Linked DNA regions of Saccharomyces cerevisiae S288C. The gene in region 3 interacts genetically with the main gene of each other region. Each region holds a gene or a part of one and is shown on either strand. Other genes may lie near its edges.

Region 1 (3,189 bases), on a different chromosome or scaffold from region 3:
AGATCGACCTTGCCTGGAATCCCAGGTTTAATATCTCATCTAATCCTGTGATGCCGCTACTTAATGGCTTTGGACTTTCTACTATTAATTGGGAAAGTGGTATACCAAGCGACATATTTTCATATTATATATTATTAATAAGTTCTTTTCCTTATCTAAAAGCTTTCCTTAATGTACTTGACATCTTTGATAGCGGAGCTTATTATTAGTTAGTCATGCTACTATGTATTTTTTTCTATTTTTCATATCAAACGCGATGAGAAGAGAACACGTGAAGAACTTAGGGGACCTCCGCATCTATAACATATTCTACTGAAGAAAAAAAGGAATAAAAAATAAAAGAAGAAACGGTAGCTGGGTATATATTAGTATTCAAAAGCCATATTGTTAATTAGCTAAGATGTGAAAAGAAGTATGTAATATTACAATTTTTTTTCCTTTATTGCATTATGAAGAAAAAAAGAAAAATGCACTTGACAATTAGAGTGCCTGTTAAAAATTTATAAGAAATAGTCCATTTGAGATTTTTTGGTTGGAATTATAGCATTTCCGACTTCATTTTGTGCCTGAACAGCTTCAAAAATTGTATATTCACGATTCAAATCGTCGTCTATCTTCAATACAGCTGCTACATTACCACAACGATAACAGTAATTCGGTGCCGACCAGACTGTCACTAATCCACCGTCGAACATTTCTTTGTAACCTTCCATCACTAACTGATGAGCTCTAGCAATTAACTCAACGTTGTTTTTCTCTAAGAATTGATCAACTTCTCTTTTACCGAAAAGAAATCCAGCACCTCTTGGTGATAATGACCATGTGTCAACGTCTTCGGGGTCGCTCCATAATAAGTCACACATAGCACCTTCATGTGGAACTTCTTGTTTCCTGTCTATTGTTCGTATTTCATCAACCGTGGTCATATCCGGAGATAATCCACCATGAACACAGAATATGCTATTGTTTATTATTGCCCCCAATGATAAATAATCAAAAACTTCACAGCAGTACCTCCATACGTTACTATTACCATATTTTCTTACTACTTCATCGTAAAATCCGTATACTTTAGTAATTTGCCGGGTTTCGTGATTGCCTCTAATTAAAGTAATCCTATCAGGATATCTTAATTTGTAACATAGTAAAAGTAAAAAACTCTCCAATGAGTAAAATCCCCTATCCACAAAATCGCCCAAGAAAATATACCTTGTTTTCTCTACACCACCACTCTTTTCGAAGAGCGTTAGTAGATCGTGTAATTGGCCATGTATATCACCGCATATTGTAACCGGTGTATCGACTTGTGTTACATTGCCTTCATTCATTAATAGTTCCTGTGAATTTAAACATAGCCTAAAAACGGTTTCTTCAGGAATATGTTTTCCGTCTCTCAGTGATGCTATAATCTTATCTAAGTCCATCATATCTCCCTTGAAATTTGTAATCACTTTTTTCGTGCTGTTTTACTTTGCTACGTGGACTAGCGTGTGACTACAAGTTAAAGTGTCCTGAATTGCAAAAGAAAAAGCTGAGAGGTTAACGTATAAAGAGAAAAGACCTCTGGTAGTACCCTCTTTTACCTACCGCTGTTTCGACGTGCTCTTTTCGAGATGCCGTTCTTCTCCTCAGTTCACATGATAAAGATACTTTTTTTCAATTAATTCATCGATTTTTTTTCTTCCCGCCGGACATTGTATTAAATTTCTTTTTCTCATTAATAAAACAAAGAACAATGATATTTATTAAAAACCGTTTAATAGTAAGGATAATAGTGAGAAGTTACATATCATATAAAGTTATTACATATTGGAAGTTTATAAAAATATAATGTGTATGTAAATCTTCGAAAATGGTGGGTTGAGACTATTATATATATGCCTTCGTCGCAACACCACATATTGACTGTTCAAATACAATACAAAGAAAAAAATAAAGCATGAAGGAGTAAGACGTAAGATGTCTGTCTAGTCATAACCATTTCGTTAAAAAGGGTGTTTCAAACCTTTGCGCCGGTGTAAGAAGCCGATCTTTTCATAACATAAGCTTTAGATGCTAGCTTTGATTTCAAACTGCTCTCACTATTCTTGACATGACCTCTGGAATCCAGGTCGACCGTACCAGCACTTTGGAAGAGAGAGACATCACCAACAAGTAAACCTAAAGTCTCCAGGACTTGCTGAGGATCGGTTAAATGAGCCTTTGCGACAGTTTTCTTGGATGCAGATCCCACAGTGACAGGATAGAATCCGTAGTTGCCCCATTGATTTTTTTGGTCAGGATATTTTTCTTTCCAACAAGTTTCAATGGTATTCAACTGTCTAAACATGTCTTCGTCAGTGAAGTCATCACCCAAACATAATACAAAATCAGGCATTTCATCCTTAGGTAGTTTTTCACTGATTCCCTTCAACATGTCCTGTGGTTTGCCATGTTGATGCCAGACTAGTCTCTTGACTATTTCACCTTTGTTGACGAATCTTGGACGAACTTCAATGTTTGCTTTACCATCCATGACCTCTAAATCAAAGTCATCAGTAAATGATAACAATTTTTCTTTCAGTTCTTTGGCGTGGAATTCACCCAATTCTGGAACGGTACGTCTATAATGCCAAGTTAGAGCGACTTTCTTTCTTTCGATGAATGAACCTGGGGTCCTTGTGGTAAATTCTTCCATCACTTCATTGACGCGTACTTGCCAAGACATATCAACTTTTTCGGTCAAATTGACCCAATCTTGGCAAGAAACATCTTTCATGAAACATCCATGCTCCGCACTTAGACCCAGTTGAGGAAGTTTACCGCCTAACCACTTGTTCAAAAACTTCTGGTCACGACCAGAAATAATCCAGATTTGATTATGAGGATCAGCACATAATTTTTGTAGAATTGTATAAAGTCTTGCCGATGGAATAGCTGCAGCTGGGTCTTTGACAATTGGGGTCAAAGTACCATCGTAATCAAAAAGGAACAATCTACGCTTAGCCTGCTTGTAATTTTCTAAAAGAACAGGTCTATTAAGTGCTGGAGTCATTTTCCTTTCCATATCATCATTAGATGACGCCTGTTCCTTTAATGAACTCAAAAACTTATTAGTCCAATCTTGAATTGTAGGAACTTCTTTCCATAATTTTGATTCTAAATTGGACTTTTCTTCCTTGTCCAATTTCAAAGCCATGTTAATAGATT
Region 2 (3,301 bases), on a different chromosome or scaffold from region 3:
CCAATATTACTGCTTTAGGTCATCCACCACGGGTAGTGTTGAGGATTACCTTTTTCGGTCTACGCAATATTATCCATTGACAGTTTGGCGTACCGTACAAAAAGCCGCTGCTGCAGGTTGTACTTCAACTTTAAGTCGCCGCGTTGCAAGTACATTGTGAAAAGATACTGCCTTACGTTAATTTTCTATATCCAATTGGGGAATATGCATGTCCGAATCTGGCAGATGCATGGATCGTTGAATAGTATTTCCAATTCCGTGTAAGCTGTTGCTTACATTAATCCTATAAGGGTAATGGGTGTGCTTGAGGGGATGTGTACATACCACTTTAGGTTCGAGCTGCATACCCCAATATGGAAAAACGTATTCACCTTAACTCCAACAGATTAAAATCCTAAATAGGTAAAATTACCCTTAACTTTTCTTTGTAGTTGTTGGGTGGAATGTTGTCGTTTTTCCATTTTTTATTGTTTTCGGTTTTCGGTTTTTTTATTTTACTATTAACCTTCACTATCATAAATTATCTCCTCCTTTCCCTCCGCATTTGGTAATGGATTATCATTGGAGTCAATATTGTTAAACACTTGTGAGCAACTGCTGCTGCTTGTTGATAATGTTGGAAATGAGGCAATATTAGCAGTATCAGGTTTCAGATCAATTATATCGCGGAGTTGACCTGTTGCTTTATCAAAATCAAATTTGACAATATAGTTACGATCGTCGCTGCTTCTTGACCGCTTTAAATTTCGTCCTTCTCTTTTTCTATCTTCGCCGTGTAAATTAAAAACAATAGCTATTCTCAAGTTTTCAAAGTTTCGTTTGTTTATTCTCATTTCTTTGATGGTAGTACATCCCTCGTTACTCTGCGAGGATGACGCCTTCACTCTTTTGCTTTTCACGAAAACGGTTTCGTCCACTTGTTCATTCCAATCCCTAAAAAGGCCGATCCTGTCTCTTAGAAATACTTCCCAAGTGGAATCCTTGCTTCCCATAGCGATATTGGCAACGAGCGCGCTTTTCAATATATGTACATTGTTCTTACGCCTTTCGTTGTTAGAGTTGACAAAGAAGTTAGATCCGTCGTCTAAAATTTCGTAGTATTCTTCCAAGGATTCGAATTCGTTTGATTGGAAGGCGGTGTTCATACAGTCATTTAAAACTATTATTGTCGAACCCGTGGAATGTGTGTATTTGGTCATTACCGTAAAAATTAATATCAAATGTCGACATTTTAACTCGTGTATAGTTTTATCTATCATTCCGCCGCCTCTTTTACTTAGTGTACACAGATGATCGCAGACTAATTGAGAAAATCCATCAATTATAACTAGTTTATATCGCACACTTTGAGATAATTTGAACAAATTCTGGAAGAAATATAATAGCTGTCCAAATTTCGTTATTCGGACCCGCTTCACATTTTCTTCCACGATTTTAAATTTTTGAAAGCGTTCTCTTAGTATGTTTATGGGCATTTCTTGAAATGTTTCTATCCATAGAATTTTATCGTCGTTTATTTCCGATTGTTGTATGCCTTCTAACGAATTACACACCAATTGAATGCCAAAATTAGTCTTGCCAATGCCCGGAGGCCCAAATATTTCGTAGATCGACCTTGCCTGGAATCCCAGGTTTAATATCTCATCTAATCCTGTGATGCCGCTACTTAATGGCTTTGGACTTTCTACTATTAATTGGGAAAGTGGTATACCAAGCGACATATTTTCATATTATATATTATTAATAAGTTCTTTTCCTTATCTAAAAGCTTTCCTTAATGTACTTGACATCTTTGATAGCGGAGCTTATTATTAGTTAGTCATGCTACTATGTATTTTTTTCTATTTTTCATATCAAACGCGATGAGAAGAGAACACGTGAAGAACTTAGGGGACCTCCGCATCTATAACATATTCTACTGAAGAAAAAAAGGAATAAAAAATAAAAGAAGAAACGGTAGCTGGGTATATATTAGTATTCAAAAGCCATATTGTTAATTAGCTAAGATGTGAAAAGAAGTATGTAATATTACAATTTTTTTTCCTTTATTGCATTATGAAGAAAAAAAGAAAAATGCACTTGACAATTAGAGTGCCTGTTAAAAATTTATAAGAAATAGTCCATTTGAGATTTTTTGGTTGGAATTATAGCATTTCCGACTTCATTTTGTGCCTGAACAGCTTCAAAAATTGTATATTCACGATTCAAATCGTCGTCTATCTTCAATACAGCTGCTACATTACCACAACGATAACAGTAATTCGGTGCCGACCAGACTGTCACTAATCCACCGTCGAACATTTCTTTGTAACCTTCCATCACTAACTGATGAGCTCTAGCAATTAACTCAACGTTGTTTTTCTCTAAGAATTGATCAACTTCTCTTTTACCGAAAAGAAATCCAGCACCTCTTGGTGATAATGACCATGTGTCAACGTCTTCGGGGTCGCTCCATAATAAGTCACACATAGCACCTTCATGTGGAACTTCTTGTTTCCTGTCTATTGTTCGTATTTCATCAACCGTGGTCATATCCGGAGATAATCCACCATGAACACAGAATATGCTATTGTTTATTATTGCCCCCAATGATAAATAATCAAAAACTTCACAGCAGTACCTCCATACGTTACTATTACCATATTTTCTTACTACTTCATCGTAAAATCCGTATACTTTAGTAATTTGCCGGGTTTCGTGATTGCCTCTAATTAAAGTAATCCTATCAGGATATCTTAATTTGTAACATAGTAAAAGTAAAAAACTCTCCAATGAGTAAAATCCCCTATCCACAAAATCGCCCAAGAAAATATACCTTGTTTTCTCTACACCACCACTCTTTTCGAAGAGCGTTAGTAGATCGTGTAATTGGCCATGTATATCACCGCATATTGTAACCGGTGTATCGACTTGTGTTACATTGCCTTCATTCATTAATAGTTCCTGTGAATTTAAACATAGCCTAAAAACGGTTTCTTCAGGAATATGTTTTCCGTCTCTCAGTGATGCTATAATCTTATCTAAGTCCATCATATCTCCCTTGAAATTTGTAATCACTTTTTTCGTGCTGTTTTACTTTGCTACGTGGACTAGCGTGTGACTACAAGTTAAAGTGTCCTGAATTGCAAAAGAAAAAGCTGAGAGGTTAACGTATAAAGAGAAAAGACCTCTGGTAGTACCCTCTTTTACCTACCGCTGTTTCGACGTGCTCTTTTCGAGATGCCGTTCTTCTCCTCAGTTCACATGATAAAGATACTTTTTTTCAATTAATTCATCGATTTTTTTTCTTCCCGCCGGACAT
Region 3 (4,451 bases):
GAAATGGAACTTGTACTTCTATTGATATCGTTTGAAGAGCCTGATCCGCTTGGATTATTCAAAAAGTCCAAATCATTCGATTGACTAAAAGACAGAGCGACAGATTCATTCTGAGAGGGAGGGGGCTCAGCGAAGTCGTGAAACTCGGAATTACCGTCTGCCGATGTGCCATTTAAAATTTCGGATGAAATTTCAGAAGCAATTTCAATTTCACAAGAACCTTGTGATTTTTCCTTCAGTGAGGAAGAAGCATCGTCCTCAACGTCGTTCTCAAACTCGTCCTGCTCAGGAAGAATCTTTCTTGTGGGAAAAGAGTTATATTTTTCAATCAATGAGGGCGAAGCGTCGATATCCATCGCATCCTCACCAATAGAGGATGAAATTTTTTCTTTATCATTTGTAAACACATCACCTGAGCGTGAAATATGAGATGAAACGGATGACCAGTATTGACGAACTTCTGGTTTATTCAATATCAGAGAGGAATCAGAGGAGAATCCGCTTGATTCCAACTGTTTATCAACCTCATTATAAGCTCCAATTTCAGGGTATGCACCAGGAGTATTTGAGCAAATAGTCATGGACATTATGGGTACTGCCTGATTTTAACAAAGGGATACTCGTAATGTCAACCGTACTTCTCTTGCTGTTAGCAAAAGTATTGTTCTATTCTTTTTTCCAAGTACAATTTTTTATTCAATTTAAAAACGTCGAAACGAAGACAAGGAAATTCATTGCCATAAAGAAGTGTATGGTATTTTACGTTGGTTTTATAAGAGGATGGCGACATATCAGAAAATTTTTCTCTTCACTCCCCTAAAAGGATAAAGCCGCGCGGACCCTGCAGGAGGAAGTAGTCATCGGGAAGAAGAGTAGAAAAATACATATATTTCATGGGTGACAGACAATACGAAAGTTATTTAAAAGAACTGAAAAAAAAGGTTAAGACCGCAGTAGGGTTGCGAGGTATATGACAAAATATATGCAAAAATCTAAGACAGTGGATGGAAATGAAGATAAAAATGTACGGAACGCAACCTAAGAAAAAGAGGAGAATTGAAAGTAAACCTGTGTAAATAAATAGAGACAAGAGACCAAATACCTACTCGTCTTCTTCTCTGGGGTCACCAACACCATCTTCATAGATCGCGAACACACATTCAGCCTCTGGTAAGCAAGGTGAGTCAACAACTTTGCATAATCTTTGACATCCCTTACCCTTTTTGAAACCTAATCGCGTGGTGGAAGAATGTGCCATAATATTACCACCGATAGGCTTCTTTGGATCTGGATTAAAAGCCATACCACCATCAACTTGGGCGACCACTTGGTTAGTAACGACGACTGCAACACCAAATTGGTCGGCCAGCCTTTGCAAAGCACGCATAAATTTGGCTAAATGCATTTGCCTTGCGCTTAGTTCACCACGACCAGAAAAATCCGTACGGTATAGAGCCATAACAGAATCGACCACAATCAAGGAAAACCGAGACTCGCTCATCATTTGGGCAGCAGCATCCAGAAGTCTTAACTGATGATCGGCGTTATAGGCTCTTGCATACGCAACGTTGTTCAAAGCATCATCCGGGTCTAATCCGAACCGCTGAGCTATGGATACCAATCTTACCGGCCTGAAAGTACCTTCGGTATCGATATACAAACACTTACCTTCACCGCCACCAATATCCAATGGAATTTGGCATGTCACGGCCAAAGTGTGACATAGCTGGGACTTACCTGTCCTGAATTCACCGAAAAGCTCAGTAATAGAACCAGTTTCCACACCACCACCCAAAAGAGTGTCCAAATTCTTAGAACCCGTTGTCAAACAAATCAGCTCCGATCTTCTCATATGAAAATCAGCAGCCGTGACAAATCCCATAGGCACTAGCCTTGCCGCTTCGTTTAGCAACTTATCTGCCTTAGCTTCCGATATACCTTTGATTTCCAATAAATCCTTTCTGGGAGCATATGCTACCGCTTCAGCAGTGTGAAGCCCACTCTCCCTTAGTTTTTTCACATCCGCCATAGTAATCCCGTTCACTTGCAGTTTTTCTATTGGCACAAACGAACCTAAGGCAGCTTCATCGTATGCTTCATCCTCCATTTCACCTTGCGCTTCCGCTTGCTCCTGCAATCCGCCACCATCGCCGGAGCCGTTGGTGGCCTCAATATCTTCGCTGCTACCGTTGCCGTTTCCATCAACGACTGACTGTGAAAGGTCTGCTGGTACAGTGGACATCAACGAACCGTTCCCGTACTGAAGCTGTGACTCTGATATATGTTGTTCTTGAACTTGAGACATATGACGATAACAAATTAGTAGGCCTTTAACAAATAACTACGTCTGCTCTTTGTCGCTACACTCAACTACTAGTATATGGAAACTACGGAAGATAGAAGAAGTAACTGAGAAAATTTTTTCTCCAGTCCCCACTATTCCCCTTTATGGTCCCACCACGCGTACTGTAAACAAACCAGGACAGAAATAGCGGAAATGACGCGTAGCATAGGGTAACGAAGTGTGGCCTAGTCGTGGGATATGGTGAGACGGTGATAAAACACTGATACAACCGGTTGGAATGCTCAGGGAATGCTCAAGAAGGCCACCTGTTGCAGGATAGCTAAACTAGATTGGTTGAAGAACGGTAGTGGTGCATTTCCAACATTTACCGTCCATTTTAATTTACTCTGTGACAATGATAAGCCAGATCGCTATTAACGTGGTGTAGTCATGTGACCGGATGGCACTGCCGGTGGCAAAAAAGTGCAAATGCAGGGGCGATGAAAAGAGAGGAAGAAAGAGTTTATGGCATAGTAGAAAGGCCAATTAAATCGGGAAGCTGCTAAGTAAGTTTGAACCGTAGTTTCGAAGTAGAGTGCGTTTCTTGCGAATTGTGGTGAAAATATTGAACAGTGAATAAAGCATAAAAAAAAAATGTCGGATCCAAGTTCTATTAACGGTGGTATCGTCGTTGCGATGACAGGTAAAGACTGTGTGGCCATTGCCTGTGATTTGCGTCTCGGAAGCCAGTCACTAGGTGTGTCGAACAAGTTTGAAAAAATCTTCCACTATGGGCATGTGTTCTTAGGGATTACCGGTCTGGCTACCGACGTGACTACTCTGAACGAGATGTTCCGCTACAAGACGAACCTATATAAGTTGAAGGAAGAAAGGGCCATTGAGCCTGAAACGTTTACCCAATTAGTGTCAAGTTCACTTTATGAAAGAAGATTCGGTCCATACTTTGTGGGGCCGGTGGTAGCAGGTATTAATTCCAAGTCCGGGAAGCCCTTTATTGCGGGATTCGACCTAATCGGCTGTATCGACGAGGCCAAGGATTTTATCGTTAGCGGTACTGCATCCGACCAACTGTTCGGTATGTGTGAGTCCCTGTACGAACCTAATCTAGAGCCAGAAGATCTTTTCGAAACTATAAGTCAGGCCCTACTGAATGCTGCTGACCGTGACGCTCTATCAGGCTGGGGAGCTGTAGTATACATCATCAAGAAGGATGAAGTGGTGAAGAGATACTTGAAGATGAGACAAGATTGATCGGTTCATGGCAATCTCATGGTCCCAAAAACAACCCCAACACAAAATATCAGCGGAACGTCAAGAATTTTCCACATCCAACTCATCTTTAATTTTTAAGTAAACAGAATAGATCGAATGAATATATAAATACTAAAATGCATAAAGTCAGTCGAAGATCTGAGTAGCTATCCGCTGGCTGTCCTTTTCTAAGGAGCAGCGTTATTCACCAGCCGCGAGTCTCTTGAAAAATTGGCGCTTTTAATACTTATTAGGATGGGGAACTTGATTCTTTGACGGGTTTGTCAGCAATTAGTACGACTATCCTACTTCATCAAGAAACGAAACTATGATCGAAGAGAAGAAGGAACTTAAGAAACGCAGGGTTCTTCAAATGGCCAGATTTTATGGTGCGGCCGCCTTCACCCTGATTACCATGAGGCTTATCTCCAGGGCCATAAAAGTACGAAAATGTATGTATTTTGTCCTAGTTCAGTGGCCAAAACTAATAATAGGATATAGTTACTAACACCGTCTACTGAAAGCAGACGTCCCCAGCATATTTCAACAAAATTACAAGCTTCCACCTTTTTCCCAAAGGAATGAAGCCATGTCAGCGTTAACGTATGCATCCGCCGCTTCAATAGGTACGTTCAGCACATTGATATTCGGCTTTTGTTGGGCACTTGACATTTCAACGGCAAGAGAGTTTGTATTTAAGACTAGAGAGTTCATGAGCCTTCCACAAGCCTTAGAAACCGACACGAGCATGGACGAAGAAACTTCCAAACTAACTAAGCAATTGCAAGACCTCCTGTCGAGCGAAAACAACAAGTAGCACTACGCATTGGCTTAATCTCTTTAAACTGTAAATAATGGTATAACTACGAGCCGTTGCCGGCTGGTCACATATCGT

What was found. Genes that interact genetically often act in the same process or in processes that back each other up.
Region 1: mutations in RAD51 (region 3) and PPH3 together harm fitness more than expected from each alone (negative genetic interaction), as found in Saccharomyces cerevisiae (6 studies listed by BioGRID, with this or other methods).
Region 2: of RAD51 (region 3) and RAD55, a mutation in one rescues a mutant of the other (synthetic rescue), as found in Saccharomyces cerevisiae (9 studies listed by BioGRID, with this or other methods).

The regions. Positions count from the first base shown.
Region 1 is NC_001136.10:595,394-598,582, reverse strand, and holds PPH3 (phosphoprotein phosphatase PP4 catalytic subunit PPH3), read right to left. Parts: upstream 1,428-3,189; coding exon 501-1,427; downstream 1-500. Other genes in the region: putative DNA-dependent ATPase RAD55, read right to left, coding at 1-115; trehalose-phosphatase TPS2, read right to left, coding at 2,000-3,189. UniProt on the Saccharomyces cerevisiae protein: Forms the histone H2A phosphatase complex in association with the regulatory subunits PSY2 and PSY4, which dephosphorylates H2AS128ph (gamma-H2A) that has been displaced from sites of DNA lesions in the double-stranded DNA break repair process.
Region 2 is NC_001136.10:596,888-600,188, reverse strand, and holds RAD55 (putative DNA-dependent ATPase RAD55), read right to left. Parts: upstream 1,722-3,301; coding exon 501-1,721; downstream 1-500. Other genes in the region: phosphoprotein phosphatase PP4 catalytic subunit PPH3, read right to left, coding at 2,107-3,033. UniProt on the Saccharomyces cerevisiae protein: Required for radiation resistance and meiotic viability and presumably acts in recombination and recombinational DNA repair pathways.
Region 3 is NC_001137.3:347,834-352,284, reverse strand, and holds RAD51 (recombinase RAD51), read right to left. Parts: upstream 2,306-4,451; coding exon 1,103-2,305; downstream 1-1,102. Other genes in the region: SHC1 (Shc1p), read right to left, coding at 1-587; PUP3 (proteasome core particle subunit beta 3), read left to right, coding at 2,939-3,556; AIM11 (Aim11p), read left to right, coding at 3,885-4,008, 4,084-4,373. UniProt on the Saccharomyces cerevisiae protein: Required both for recombination and for the repair of DNA damage caused by X-rays. Its function may be modulated by interaction with other repair proteins. RAD52 interacts directly with RAD51, via its C-terminus.